Kluyveromyces lactis: one gene and its partner. The protein of the gene in region 2 binds, or shares a complex with, the protein of the main gene of each other region. Links are inferred from orthologs where the notes say so. Each region holds a gene or a part of one and is shown on either strand. Other genes may lie near its edges.

Evidence for each region. Proteins that work in one complex are often made in the same cells at the same time.
Region 1: the proteins of HFL1 (region 2) and ATG8 are in contact, whole or in part, in a crystal structure (PDB 6AAF), measured with the Schizosaccharomyces pombe proteins. The link is inferred for Kluyveromyces lactis from reciprocal best matches to the Schizosaccharomyces pombe genes hfl1 and atg8. Residues at the interface, in NP_593211.1 of Schizosaccharomyces pombe: Leu386, Gln387, Phe388, Glu389, Ile390, Asp391, Glu393, Met394, Glu395, Leu397, Tyr398, Gln400, Ala401, Lys402, Met404, Arg405, Tyr406, Gly407; in NP_596531.1 of Schizosaccharomyces pombe: Phe5, Phe9, Lys13, Glu17, Arg20, Ile21, Tyr25, Arg28, Val31, Ile32, Lys46, Lys48, Tyr49, Leu50, Val51, Pro52, Asp54, Leu55, Gly58, Gln59, Tyr62, Val63, Lys66, Arg67, Thr87, Phe104.

The regions. Positions count from the first base shown.
Region 1 is NC_006041.1:1,827,078-1,832,459, reverse strand, and holds ATG8 (ubiquitin-like protein ATG8), read right to left. Parts: upstream 2,764-5,382; coding exon 2,389-2,763; downstream 1-2,388. Other genes in the region: NUP170 (Nup170p), read left to right, coding at 1-1,714; RTT105 (Rtt105p), read right to left, coding at 3,270-3,833; isoleucine--tRNA ligase ILS1, read right to left, coding at 4,203-5,382. UniProt on the Schizosaccharomyces pombe protein: Ubiquitin-like modifier involved in autophagosome formation. With atg4, mediates the delivery of the autophagosomes to the vacuole via the microtubule cytoskeleton.
Region 2 is NC_006041.1:1,377,786-1,384,380, reverse strand, and holds HFL1 (Hfl1p), read right to left. Parts: upstream 2,830-6,595; coding exon 1,546-2,829; downstream 1-1,545. Other genes in the region: KLLA0_E15445g (uncharacterized protein), read left to right, coding at 171-1,151; KLLA0_E15401g (uncharacterized protein), read left to right, coding at 2,998-5,133; AIM23 (Aim23p), read right to left, coding at 5,239-6,282. UniProt on the Schizosaccharomyces pombe protein: Vacuole membrane protein that recruits ATG8 to facilitate the degradation of vacuolar integral membrane proteins during early-stationary vacuole turnover (EVT) when cells enter stationary phase.

The sequences.
Region 1 (5,382 bases), about 450 kb from region 2:
TTACGAAGGGCAATACTTAGCATTTGTTGACATTATGAAGTACTTGAATTTCGATATTCAATACGACTTAAGCAAGTTGAAATTCAAGGATATTTTCAATCCCAATGAACAAACCAAAAATTTAATAAGAGAGATTCTCTCCTCAATCATCAACAGAAGTATTACAAAAGGTGGATCTATTGAATACATCGCTACTGCACTTCAAGAACGCTGTGGATCGTTTTGTTCCACCGGTGATGTTCTTGGCTTTAGAGCTGTCGAGCACTTGAGAAAAGCAAAAGAAATAGGACTCAGAGATCAAGAAACACTCAACTATCACCTAACCAATGCAGCAAAGTTATTTGAAAGAATAGTTGATGATGTGTCTTTAGATAAGATAAAAGAGGCTGTAGGTATCATGTTGGAACTTAATTACTACCCAAAAACCGTCGAATTTTTGTTGAATATTGCCAATGCGATGGACAAGGGTAAATTGGCACTTCAATATGTTGCAGATGGATCTTTGGAACACGATGAAAGGAAAAAATACTACAATGCTAGAGTTTCGATCTATGAAATTGTGTTCGAAACTTTAATCAAAGTTGACCAACTAGCTGCTCTGCCTGAAAATGTTAACAATCAAGATATTCAAAAAACCCGCGATGAGGTTTACAACGTTACTTTAAAATATAACGACAAATTATTCCATTATCAAATGTATGATTGGTTGGTACAGCAAAAGTCTGAAGAAAAGCTTCTTCAGCTAGACTCAGATTTTATTCTACCATACTTAGAAGAAAAAGCAGCGAAATCCCTAGAAATTTCCAATCTTCTTTGGGTTTACCAATCCAAAAGATCGCATTTCTTGGAAGCAGCTCAAATTCTGTATTCATTAGCTATTTCGGATTTCGATATTCCTCTACAAAACAGAATTGAGTACTTGTCAAGAGCTAACGTTTTCTGTAATGGAGTCTCTCCGCCAAGCCAAAGGCAAGCCATGATTCAATTATCTGGCATGATAAAAGAAGTTGTCGATGTAGCAAGCATTCAAGATGAAATTGTCCGTGCTCTCAAGGATGACCTCAGGATTGATTCGACTGTCAGAAATGAAGCCTTGCAACAACTTGAAGGCAAAATTTTGACCGTGACTGAACTTTATAATGACTTTGCCGCACCATTGAGTTATTATGAAATTTGTCTGCTCATTTTCAAAGTCAGTGACTTTAGAAATCATGAGGAAATCATATCGAAATGGGAAGAGCTTTTCAGTTCTTTCAAGGAACATTTATCAGAGAACAATGCTACGGATGAACTGGAAAAAAGCACTACTTTCATTAGTCTAGCATCATCAACAGTGATTCGTGTTGGTAAGAATGTACGTACCAGTGAATTTGTGTTCCCAGTTGTTGATTTATTCCCACACATCTGTAGCCTAATATATGAGAACCTTCCAAAAGAACACATCAAAGCAGGTTCAATTGCATCTATTTTCATCCAAGCTGGCGTCTCATACGACCGAATGTACCATGTTCTCAAAGATTTAATTGAAACAACTACCAGCTCCAACGATATTTACGAACAAGAGATGGTTTGGCTGATTAAAGAATGGTATCACTCTGACAGAAAATTGAGAGATTTGATACCACTAGAAGAAATTCGTTCCTTCGACAAGTATTCAATTGAAAATGACCCATTGGAAAATTACAAAAAGCGCACAGGTGATAGTGTGTTTTGAGTTACTCTAACCTTTCAGCGAGATGGTAAAAAAAAGAACAGCTTTAGTTTAAAACGTCTGTTGTGGTGTTTATTTCCCTTTGTATACTATATTGATAAATAACATTTTCACCCCAATCTTAATAAACAAAACAACTAATATCAATATTGCTTTCTTATGATGTTGCGATAAGTCTTTGGTTATGGAAAGAATATATTAAACCGAATTTCGACCTGCAATCTGCTGAAGAGGTATATAAAATTGTATATTTATGAAGAACCTCTTTCGAAGTGAAAAAAAAAAGCCTAGAGATTTCATTATGGAACGGCAACATATGACTTCATCAGCAGGTATTATAAGCAACGCTTTGTCCAGATCTAGGGAACTGTTGCAGCTAGAAATATGAGAATAGGATAAATAGAAGGGAAAACATATCAGAAAGATTTCAAATACTGCTTCGGTATATATCTAGAGCAAAAGGTGTGGAAGAATAGAAAATAATAGCATCGTAGACATTCGACAATGCATTTCATCTTATCATCACTTCAATATTGTTATTCAGGTTCTTTCTTTTAGATCATCTTTTCAACAATATCTGGTTCAAAATTGTGCATTAGTTACTTGTTTTGCATCAAGCAGAACAACCTAATGGAATCATAAAAGAAAACTTAAAGGGAAGAAAGTTTAACTTAATCTCATTCCTCAGAAAACAGGGCATCGTCACCAAAAGTGTTTTCACTCGAATAGGATACATAAAGGAACCCGTCCTTATCCTTGTGTTGTTGGTAAATAGAAGACATTAAAGCTGCTGTTGGAGGTAAAGTATCATTGACAAAGATGAAAATAGCCTTTTCAGCAGGTAGCTTGATTCTCTTTCTAATTACATAAACAAATTGGCCAACAGTCAAATCTCCTGGCACCAAATATTTGCGTTTATCAATGTCTGGAATATCCGATTTGCCACCTCTTTCACAGATCACTGGAATACGGTTATGGAACTTTTGCACTATCCTTTCAGATTCAGCCTTTCTCTTTTCAAATGGGAACTCAGATTTGAATGCAGATTTCATTGCGTTTTAAAACTCTCTCCTATAATACGTAACACCGATAAAAATAATCAAACTCTCTTGAAATATTCTCCTGTCTCTATTTCAAACTAATAACCCGAAAAGATGTTTGTAACTTAACTTTCAAAAGTCTAGCTGATTTGTTCCAACTCTTGAATCGTGTTGTGTCTCTTTTTATCCGTCTTTCTGGTTCTTTCTCTCTCTCAAGAAAAAAACTTGCACGTAATAGCACTGTACTGCACTTTTCTTGCAAAACTCAAACAGATTACTGGGTAGCTAAGAAAAACGCTCTTTGTTTAGTTATCGATGATATGCGCCGCTTTGATCTTCGCGTGTGTTCCCTTTTTATACCCTTTCTGCTGTTTGGAAAATGACAAAACAAAAGTGTTCCCCCCTTAAACGGTTTGAGATGCCGTTGACCCTTAAGTCACGTGGGAAAGACAGAAAATGAATCACGTGATATCCGGGTAACAATACTATGTACGTATATATGTGTGGAAGCTGCTGCTCTATATGCTAAAGCCAGATAAGGTTTCCTCGAGCTCCTGTTGTTCTTGCTCCATCAAGGATTCGTACTCTTCCTGCAGTTCTATCAGCCGTATCAGCTCTTCATCCTCATTTAGCTGTTTTGGCTCCCTCTTTGTGGAAATATTATTCAACATAGCGGGTTCATCGGCACTATTCACGACCTCTCCTTCATCTTCTACCAGTCTATCAATCTCATCTGGCGGTATCTCGTGTTTCTGTGCTTCTTGTTGCATGTCTTGCAAGTGTCGTAGGTATTCTTGTTCCATGACGAATTGTTCCATGTCGTTTCTGTAGCTATTGATCTTCTTCTCTCTTGCCAGTTCCCGTAGTCTGCCCTTCCTTCTTTCTCTCATAAGGTCTCTAATGGGGGACGATGATGATAACGGTTGCTTGTACCTTTGATATTTGAGCTTTCGCTCTTCCAATATTTCATCAGTGATATTAGAATCGGCTCTTCCATCGTTACTTTGGACATTGTCAAGATCGGAATCGCTATCTTCTTCGTGATATCTGCCATGAACCGGACTGCTCGGTATACAGTTCATGTAGAGCTTCAAAGTTGTGGATTAACGTCTGCAATACACCGGACGGCCTGCTCCAGGCTTCTTTCCCCAGCGTACATAGAAATAACCTTAATCCTTTTGGCGTTTAATGATGCTGGTCTAGAGATATGGTTTTTTGTTCGATTAACTTCATAAACTGAAAACGCCTTAGAATTACATATACACATTATATTCGAAATAAGATATGAGATCGACTGTTGCTAGAGAATCAGCAGAGGTGATCTACGGAGCCAATAATTGCAATTAAATTAATTAAATGTGGTGAATTTATAAGTAGTACGGACGGGTTTCGTTTCACTAGAGAAACGTAACTGCTATACATTTTTTCCCACTTTATATACATTTCAACATCTATAATTTGAAAATCTTCAACTTGAAGATGGTATCGTTGATAGATAGTTCTTCATCAGCAAGTGGATTGGTTTCTGATCCTTCAGCCTTCAGGATTTCAGACCTACATGTCTTAGTCAACATGTCATGATGATCTTTGACGATATTCTCAAAGTCAATGGTATCTTTAACTAATTCATACTTGACAATGACATCATCTGTGGCTTCAAGACCACACTTCTTTCTCAGCTTTTGAACTCTGTTGATCAATTCTCTAGCAAGACCTTCAGTTTTTAGCTCATCGTAGATCTTGGTATCTAGAATGATCAAGACATCGTTATCAGTTCTGGTTTCTTGTCCGTCTTGAACAGCAGATTCAGGAAGCCCTCTAATGGCACTTAGATCACCTTTTACCAATTGAATACCTGCTACTTCAATTTCACCGGTAGACAAGTAATCCTTGACTTGGGCAGAAGTTAGAGTTGGTAGAACGTCTTTGACCTTCTTGGCATCCTTCTTCAACTTCTTACCTAATACTGGCCAGTCAGCAACTGCTCTGTATTCCACACCGTATTTTTCCTCCTCGGAAGTGATGATGATGTCGCGGACGTTCAATTCTTCAACAATGTACTTTTTCAATGCTTCGATGTCCTTTAGGTAATCTGGATTGGAATGTAGAATGACCAAGGTCTTTAATGGAGTCTTCAAAGAAATAGTCTTCTTTTCACGAATATTTCTACCAAGGTCGATAACAGATTGCATTCTCTTAACTGCTTTTTCAATATCTTCATCGTAAAGATCTTCGTTGACTTCTGGATAGCTCAAGAAGTGGACGGATCTAGAATCCTTACTGTATTGAGCCAATACTTCCTCTGGAATGAATGGTCTCAACTTGGAGTAAATGTTATCCGATAAGAATGGAGTGAATGGAGCCATAGCACGGACAAATGTGAACAATGCATCAAATAAAGTGTTCAAAGCCTTCAAACAGTCTTCGACACCACCTTCACCCTTCAAACGACGACGATTGAATCTGATATACCAATTTGTCAATTCATCAATAAAATCTAGTAGTCTTGGAACCACTGTATAAAGTTTGTAGGTGCTCATTTCTTGATGAATGTAAGCTACCAAAGACTGTAGAGAGGCAAGAATCCATCTATCCATGACATTATCCGATTTCAGGTGTGGGTTATACTTG
Region 2 (6,595 bases):
GTTTTGACAGCATTTGGTTCATCAACAATCCCAGAATTTGTCTTAATACACCACCGAATCCTTTTAATCAGGTAAGAAGTTGTTAGTTTTGAAACACTCTGCTATTTTTTTTCTTGGTTTGATTGAGTTTTGGTCTGATAGAAAAAGAGAAAGAGAGTGATCATTTTAGCATGTCTGACCCAGGTATTCAGGAGATTGATTATGAGGCTTTGCCAGATACTGCACCACTATCATATCAATTGATTGCAGGAGCGTTTGCAGGTATCATGGAACATTCGATCATGTTTCCTATCGATGCTTTGAAGACTAGAATGCAAGCAGTATCGGAAATTAAGGCTGCGGCGTCGGCGTCGGCATCTGGTGGTGCCGGTGCTGCCAGTGGTGGTGCCGGTGCGGGTACCCTTTTACAACAGATATCGAGAATCTCTTCTACAGAGGGGTCCCTTGCGTTGTGGAGAGGTGTGCAGTCTATGGTGATGGGTGCAGGCCCTGCTCATGCAGTATATTTTGCAACTTATGAATTTTGTAAAGAACAGTTGATCGACGCTAAGGATTTCAATACCCATCAGCCGTTGAAAACTGCCGTCAGTGGTGTTGCTGCCACTGTGGCCGCAGATGCATTAATGAACCCCTTCGATACAATCAAACAGAGGTTGCAATTGCAATCCAAGAGTAGTGACTCTTCCATGTGGAGAATGGCTTTCAACATTTATAAGAACGAAGGTCCAATGGCTTTCTTTTACAGTTATCCAACCACTTTGGCTATGAATATCCCATTCGCAGCTTTGAACTTCGTGATTTACGAATCCAGTACTAAGTTCTTCAACCCAACTAATGCATACAACCCTTGGATCCATTGCTTGTGTGGTGGTATCGCCGGTGCCACTTGTGCAGCTGTTACCACGCCTTTAGATTGCATCAAGACAGTGTTACAGATTAGAGGGAGCGATACCGTCCATGTGGAATCGTTCAAAACCGCAAATACTTTCAAGAAAGCTGCTCAAGCCATATGGCAATCTTACGGTTGGAAAGGTTTCTGGAGAGGTTTACAACCAAGAGTTATTTCTAATATCCCTGCAACTGCTATCTCCTGGACCTCTTACGAATTTGCTAAACATTTATTGTTCACAAAGCAAGAACCCTCATTATAAATATCGTTTGAATGATCTAATGACCCCCCCCCCCCCCTTACAAACACGCACAAAGTATAACGCTTACCCCTCCCCAATTCCACAATGTTGTGCTCTTAGTATTCGTTTTACTTGACATGCTTATATTTAGAGTCACCAATCTTTTACCTTCTTCTTCCCCTGTTATTCCTTTTTATCTGGCAGCATGGTCTTTTATTCCACAATTTCTAACTGCTATATATCCCCTGTAGATATTGTATGTATATTTAAGCGTTTCATATATCCATATAGATTTTGTCATTTCTCCCACAATTAAACGCTATTGCTGCTGTTTTCTCTTTGTTCTAAAATCATGACTGCCCTCTCTTCCTGTCACTAGTAAGTACAATACAAAAGTCCCACCCTTAAAAAACATTTACTTCGACCTCATTTGTTTCCTCAAATCATCAATTCTAGCATCATATCGATGTGATGTTGCGTCCCAGACCACTGGATAATTGCTGTCCTCTGGAATATACCTTGGCAAATTCAAACCTTCAGTGATATCAGTCCATGCCGATTCTAAATCGTTCCCGTTATCAGTTTCGGTGCTGCCATATCCACTAGATCCGACCCAGTAAGATGACATACCCTGATTTGTGTACCTTAATCCCCTAGTCAATCTGTTGGTTCTTGAGTGCGTGTCTCTGTCCGCGAGCATTGATTCCACCGAGTCAAAGCTCCTGTAATCTCTGTAATCACCATTTATTACACTCTTGAAATCCCACCATAGATCTTTAAAACCAAGCCAGTCCTTCAAAGCATAGAGGATCTTCAACCTTCCAGAGTTTGGGTACTTGTCCGGACCGTATTCGTCACTTGAAAACGCATACCAATGTGCAATAGCAAATCCAATCATTTCAACACAAAGTACACTATTACCGATCTCAAATGCCACATATTTGTCGTCACCATGTATATCAATGACATCTATAATCGTTAAAACGTTGATAATGAGACTTTGCCAGTACGATGCGAAAATAATCAACTTGACACACATAAATTTCGGCCATGGTTTGAATACTGAAAGCTCTGTGTACAAACATTTCCAGAACATCGCGAGACAGTAAAGAGACCATGTCACACTGATATTGTAGCATATTACTAACCAGACGGTATTCCATTGGAACGCTTCAAACGTTGCCATACCGATACAGTACACTGGCTTGAACCAAACGTATTGTAAAACACCACGCTTCAACGTCTCGAAATCGTGAGGATCACTAAGATCGATTCTTTGTAGGTAACGCCCAAAGAATGGGATAGCATGCCTGCTCGGTGGATACATTGGCGCGATGTTGATGATGATATTCCGTTCACCACCTAGTCGTAAAGTCAAATACGTAAAGAACTGATAGATGACCAATGCCTCATAAATTTCTCTAATCGGATCAATATAAATGGCGCCTATCTCTGGTCGTAAAATCGAAGCAAAACATGAGATGGAAAATATAGGTACCATCATCTGGATCCTTAATATCAACCTTTGCTGCGAAGGAATTCTATAATTCCACAACTGCCCGCATTGTGAAATAATGGATATACTTGTGGCAACTATTGTACAAATACCACACAAATATATCAGCCAGTTCGGAAGAGAAGCACCTGAGGTAATAGCAGCAAGGTTCCACTCATCAAAGTGTCGTACAAAAGAAAACATACAAATGCAGTAGACGGTCCTGAAATGTGTGGTTTACCTGTCAATTTGTCTTGGTTGCTTTGTTCTTTTAATGATTATTCTGACATATATATATTATGATTATTTTGTAAAGGGTTACCGTTTTGATATTTTTGTTGAAATAAATAAAGTGCGATGAGATGAGATGAGATGAGCAGAGATGAAATTAAAGAAGGAAGAGTAGAGGTAGTAACATGTTTTGAACCCTTTGATCTGAGGTGCAATTACTGTATAAGAGAGTTCACAATCATGCTAGGAATTGTTTTAGTCATATTATCTGTTCGATTTGTTCTAGGATTTGGCGTAGGGTTTCATTTGACGCAAGTTGCTAGGTCAATCCCTAATCACGATTCCTTTACCAAAGCTGGTTCTTTGTTTCTGGAGTCTGTTCTGCAGTTTGATAAATTAGAAGTAGATTGGGATGTGTTCTTGCAGGATGGTGTACAGCTATGGCAAGAAAAGTATGGCACAGGTAATGATGATCATGGGTTAAAGCAGTTTATATTAGGGGTGTCGGTAGGAAATAAGATAAACAGTCTTCAGAATTATACCGACCATGGAGTGGTAAATATTTTGGCAAACTTAGAGTTCGGAGGTAGTATAGAAGATACTTTGAGATATCTACGGGGTTCTGCCGATTTAGTTCACTTATCTTTGTTACTTGGTCAAGACAATATTGAGTGGAATTATTACTTATCTACGCAAATTAAGTTACCCTTGAAGGAAGACGTTCTCGACCTATTATCACAGCAAAATATCGAAGGTGATTGGGTTAGCATCGTTGGCCATATGTTTGATATGCTTGGTGTCTTGCACTCGGAACTCTATTTATTACAGAACAAAAGGTTTCATGCCTTGGACGTAGCGTATTCGTTGAGTCCAGGTGGTCCGAAACTTTTAAGAGAACATTGGCGAGGAGGAGAGTGGAATATCTTAGCAGAGTTGCAAAAGTTCACTTATGGAATTGGATTACAATTTAACGTCCAACAATCCAGTGAGAAATCCTCTTTATCTATTACAACTCAAGACTCCAACAGTGATAATAAATATGTGACTCCATTAAAAAAGTTGTCGCTATTTGGTACCAGCATTGTCAGTGGAGAATTCTTGGAAGATGTTCCCTGCATTGCAGTCGGGGCACCATTAGATGATGTAAGTGGGTCCATTTATGTCATTCCTATGTCCACACTTGAATCTGAGGGTAAGCAAAGTTCAAAAATGACTGCTCTTTATGGGTCAAAAGTTCATAAGTTCAGATTATCGAATTATGACTATCTTGTTGTTTCTGAGCCTGGTAAAAAATTTATTCATATCTACTTATTTGGTGAGAAGATTATAACTATCGTGGATCCTTCGTCTAGCTATCAAGAAGTTAGTTGCATAGTTGATCTTGACAACGACCAGATACCAGATTTAATTTTGACTTGCAAGTATTGTAATAAGAACGAACTAGGAAAGGTGATAATTATTCCAGGATTGAATATCATCCCATACTTGGTTTCAGGTAAAATAAATCAAGTGGAATTTGTAGATAATATCGGGAGTATAGTCTTAAACGGACCAAGATCTTTAAAATTTCAACATTATGGGGCTAACGCTGCAGCATCTGGCAGTTTTTTATTTGTGACTGCTCAAAGCCTAGGACTAGTGTACGGATACAACTTACAACAATTAAATACAGGAATTCCACCATCGTTTTACATTAAAGAGGATGATATCATCTTTCCTAGCGAAGACGTCCCATGGAAATGGGGGGATATTATAGCATCCTCTGAACATGGATTCTTTGGTGCAGAAATGCACGTATGGACTCATGATCAAGTAGATTATATTGCAATATCACAGTTGCTCTTCAATAAGGTCTACATATTCAAAGATGCTGGCAACTCTGCACTAGAGGTCTGGTTAATATTGGAACTTGACACATTAGTTGACCTTAACACTGTCAAGTCCTCTATTGAGTTTGGTAAGGGTGTTCACTTCTCACACTCCCGGAAAAGGCTATTTCTTTCTTCTCCGGGCAGTTTTAATGGCGCTGGTGCTATCTGGAGTGTCTCTATGTCAGAAATGAAGAGAACAGTTGAACTTTGGAGATCCAAACATTTGCTCATAACCGCTTTAAAACACCTTGAATTCGTTAACCCCGAGCAAAAGAAAAAGGGTTGGTCTAATTTCGGCTCCAATTTGGCTGAGTCCCCATTAGATGACTTATTAGTTTCCATTCCACAATTTGGCTACGGTGACTTACATGACCTTTCGCTAATCGGAGCATTATTGATTCATTAGAATACATCACAATTACGTGAAATTTTTCGATATATGTACGCTAATTATCAATATTTACAAGATACATATGCCATTATAACGTCTATCGTCCGAGATATTTCCTGGTTATTCGGTGGAATCGCTGGTTTTTTTCTTCTCAATTCTGCGTTGCAGCTTTTCCTGCCTTTCCCGTTTCCGTTGCTCCTTGAGAGCTTTTTTATCAACTCCATTATTAGTATTTACAAGATTTGGAGTTACTTTCATAATTATTCTTTGATTGATCAAACCTTCTTGTGTAATCTGTGATGAATATTCGCTGATTATTTCGTTTAGCTTCTCCAAAACCTCTTCCCTTCTTTTCATTTCCTTTTTAGAAATAGAAGATTCCTGCATCGCTTCTAATTCCTCCTCATCTATAGGTGACAAGTTAGAAGAGTCTTTATCATTAATGAAAAGAGCAATCTTGCTACCTTTTTCCAAATTAGAAACAATTTCACTACATTTCTGTTTTTTCAAATCATAATCCGATATTTGCCATGAAACCTTGATTGATTTCCAAGATGAATCCGCTTTCGAGTCTGGAGAGCGACGGCCAGTTTTCTTTATATTGACACCCAATTTTATAAGTTCTTCTTCTTTAATTTTAGATAGTTTGTCGGAATAATTCTTTAATGCCTGTCTTGTTGGCACTTCTTTGACAATGGGTAGACGAACATCTCCGGACGCAGCATTATCGATACTCACCATAGCTATCCCATTTATCTCAAGGTTAACGCCCTTCAAAAAGTTCCTAATATTGGCTTCTTCTAGCTTGCTAGTTTCTGGATTGATTGCCTTGATGTTACCCTTTGAATTTATTGCTAGTATTTCCTCTAGCACCGAGTTGGCAGCTGCCTGCTGTTTCTCTGTTCCACTATTCCATCTGAAAACAAGTTTTTTATTCCGTTGATCTTTATTACCGTTTCTATGGCGGTGTTTATCACGATTTTTATGTGGAGAATTGTTACCGCTCTTTCGATGTGTCGCTGGATTGTATGTTGGTAGGTTAAAAAGAAGATCCGATACAGCCCTTGATTCGTTCTGGAGAACCCGATTATTGCAAAATAAACGTATTGAAGAAATGCTGTATTTAAAAGTAGTTCTGAGCATCTGTATATAGTGGTACTTCATTTATTTCAGCCCAACGTACCACATTTCAAGGCAATTCTATCATCGGAGATGACTTGAACTTAATCAAATCAAAAAAATACAACTGTCTTTCATATTAAGATTTTGAGATATTCTGACAGAGAAGGGAAAGCGTTGATATCTGTCACGTGATCATTTTTACTAATATGTTGCTGGTTTTGCCTAGAGACTGACAGCTGAATAGGTTCAAACAAAAGAGAACAATAGAATGAAAATAAAGTCGATGCGAAATATTAATGTATTAAACGATGCAGATGTGAATGTAAGGATAAACCTTTGAACTATATATGTACGA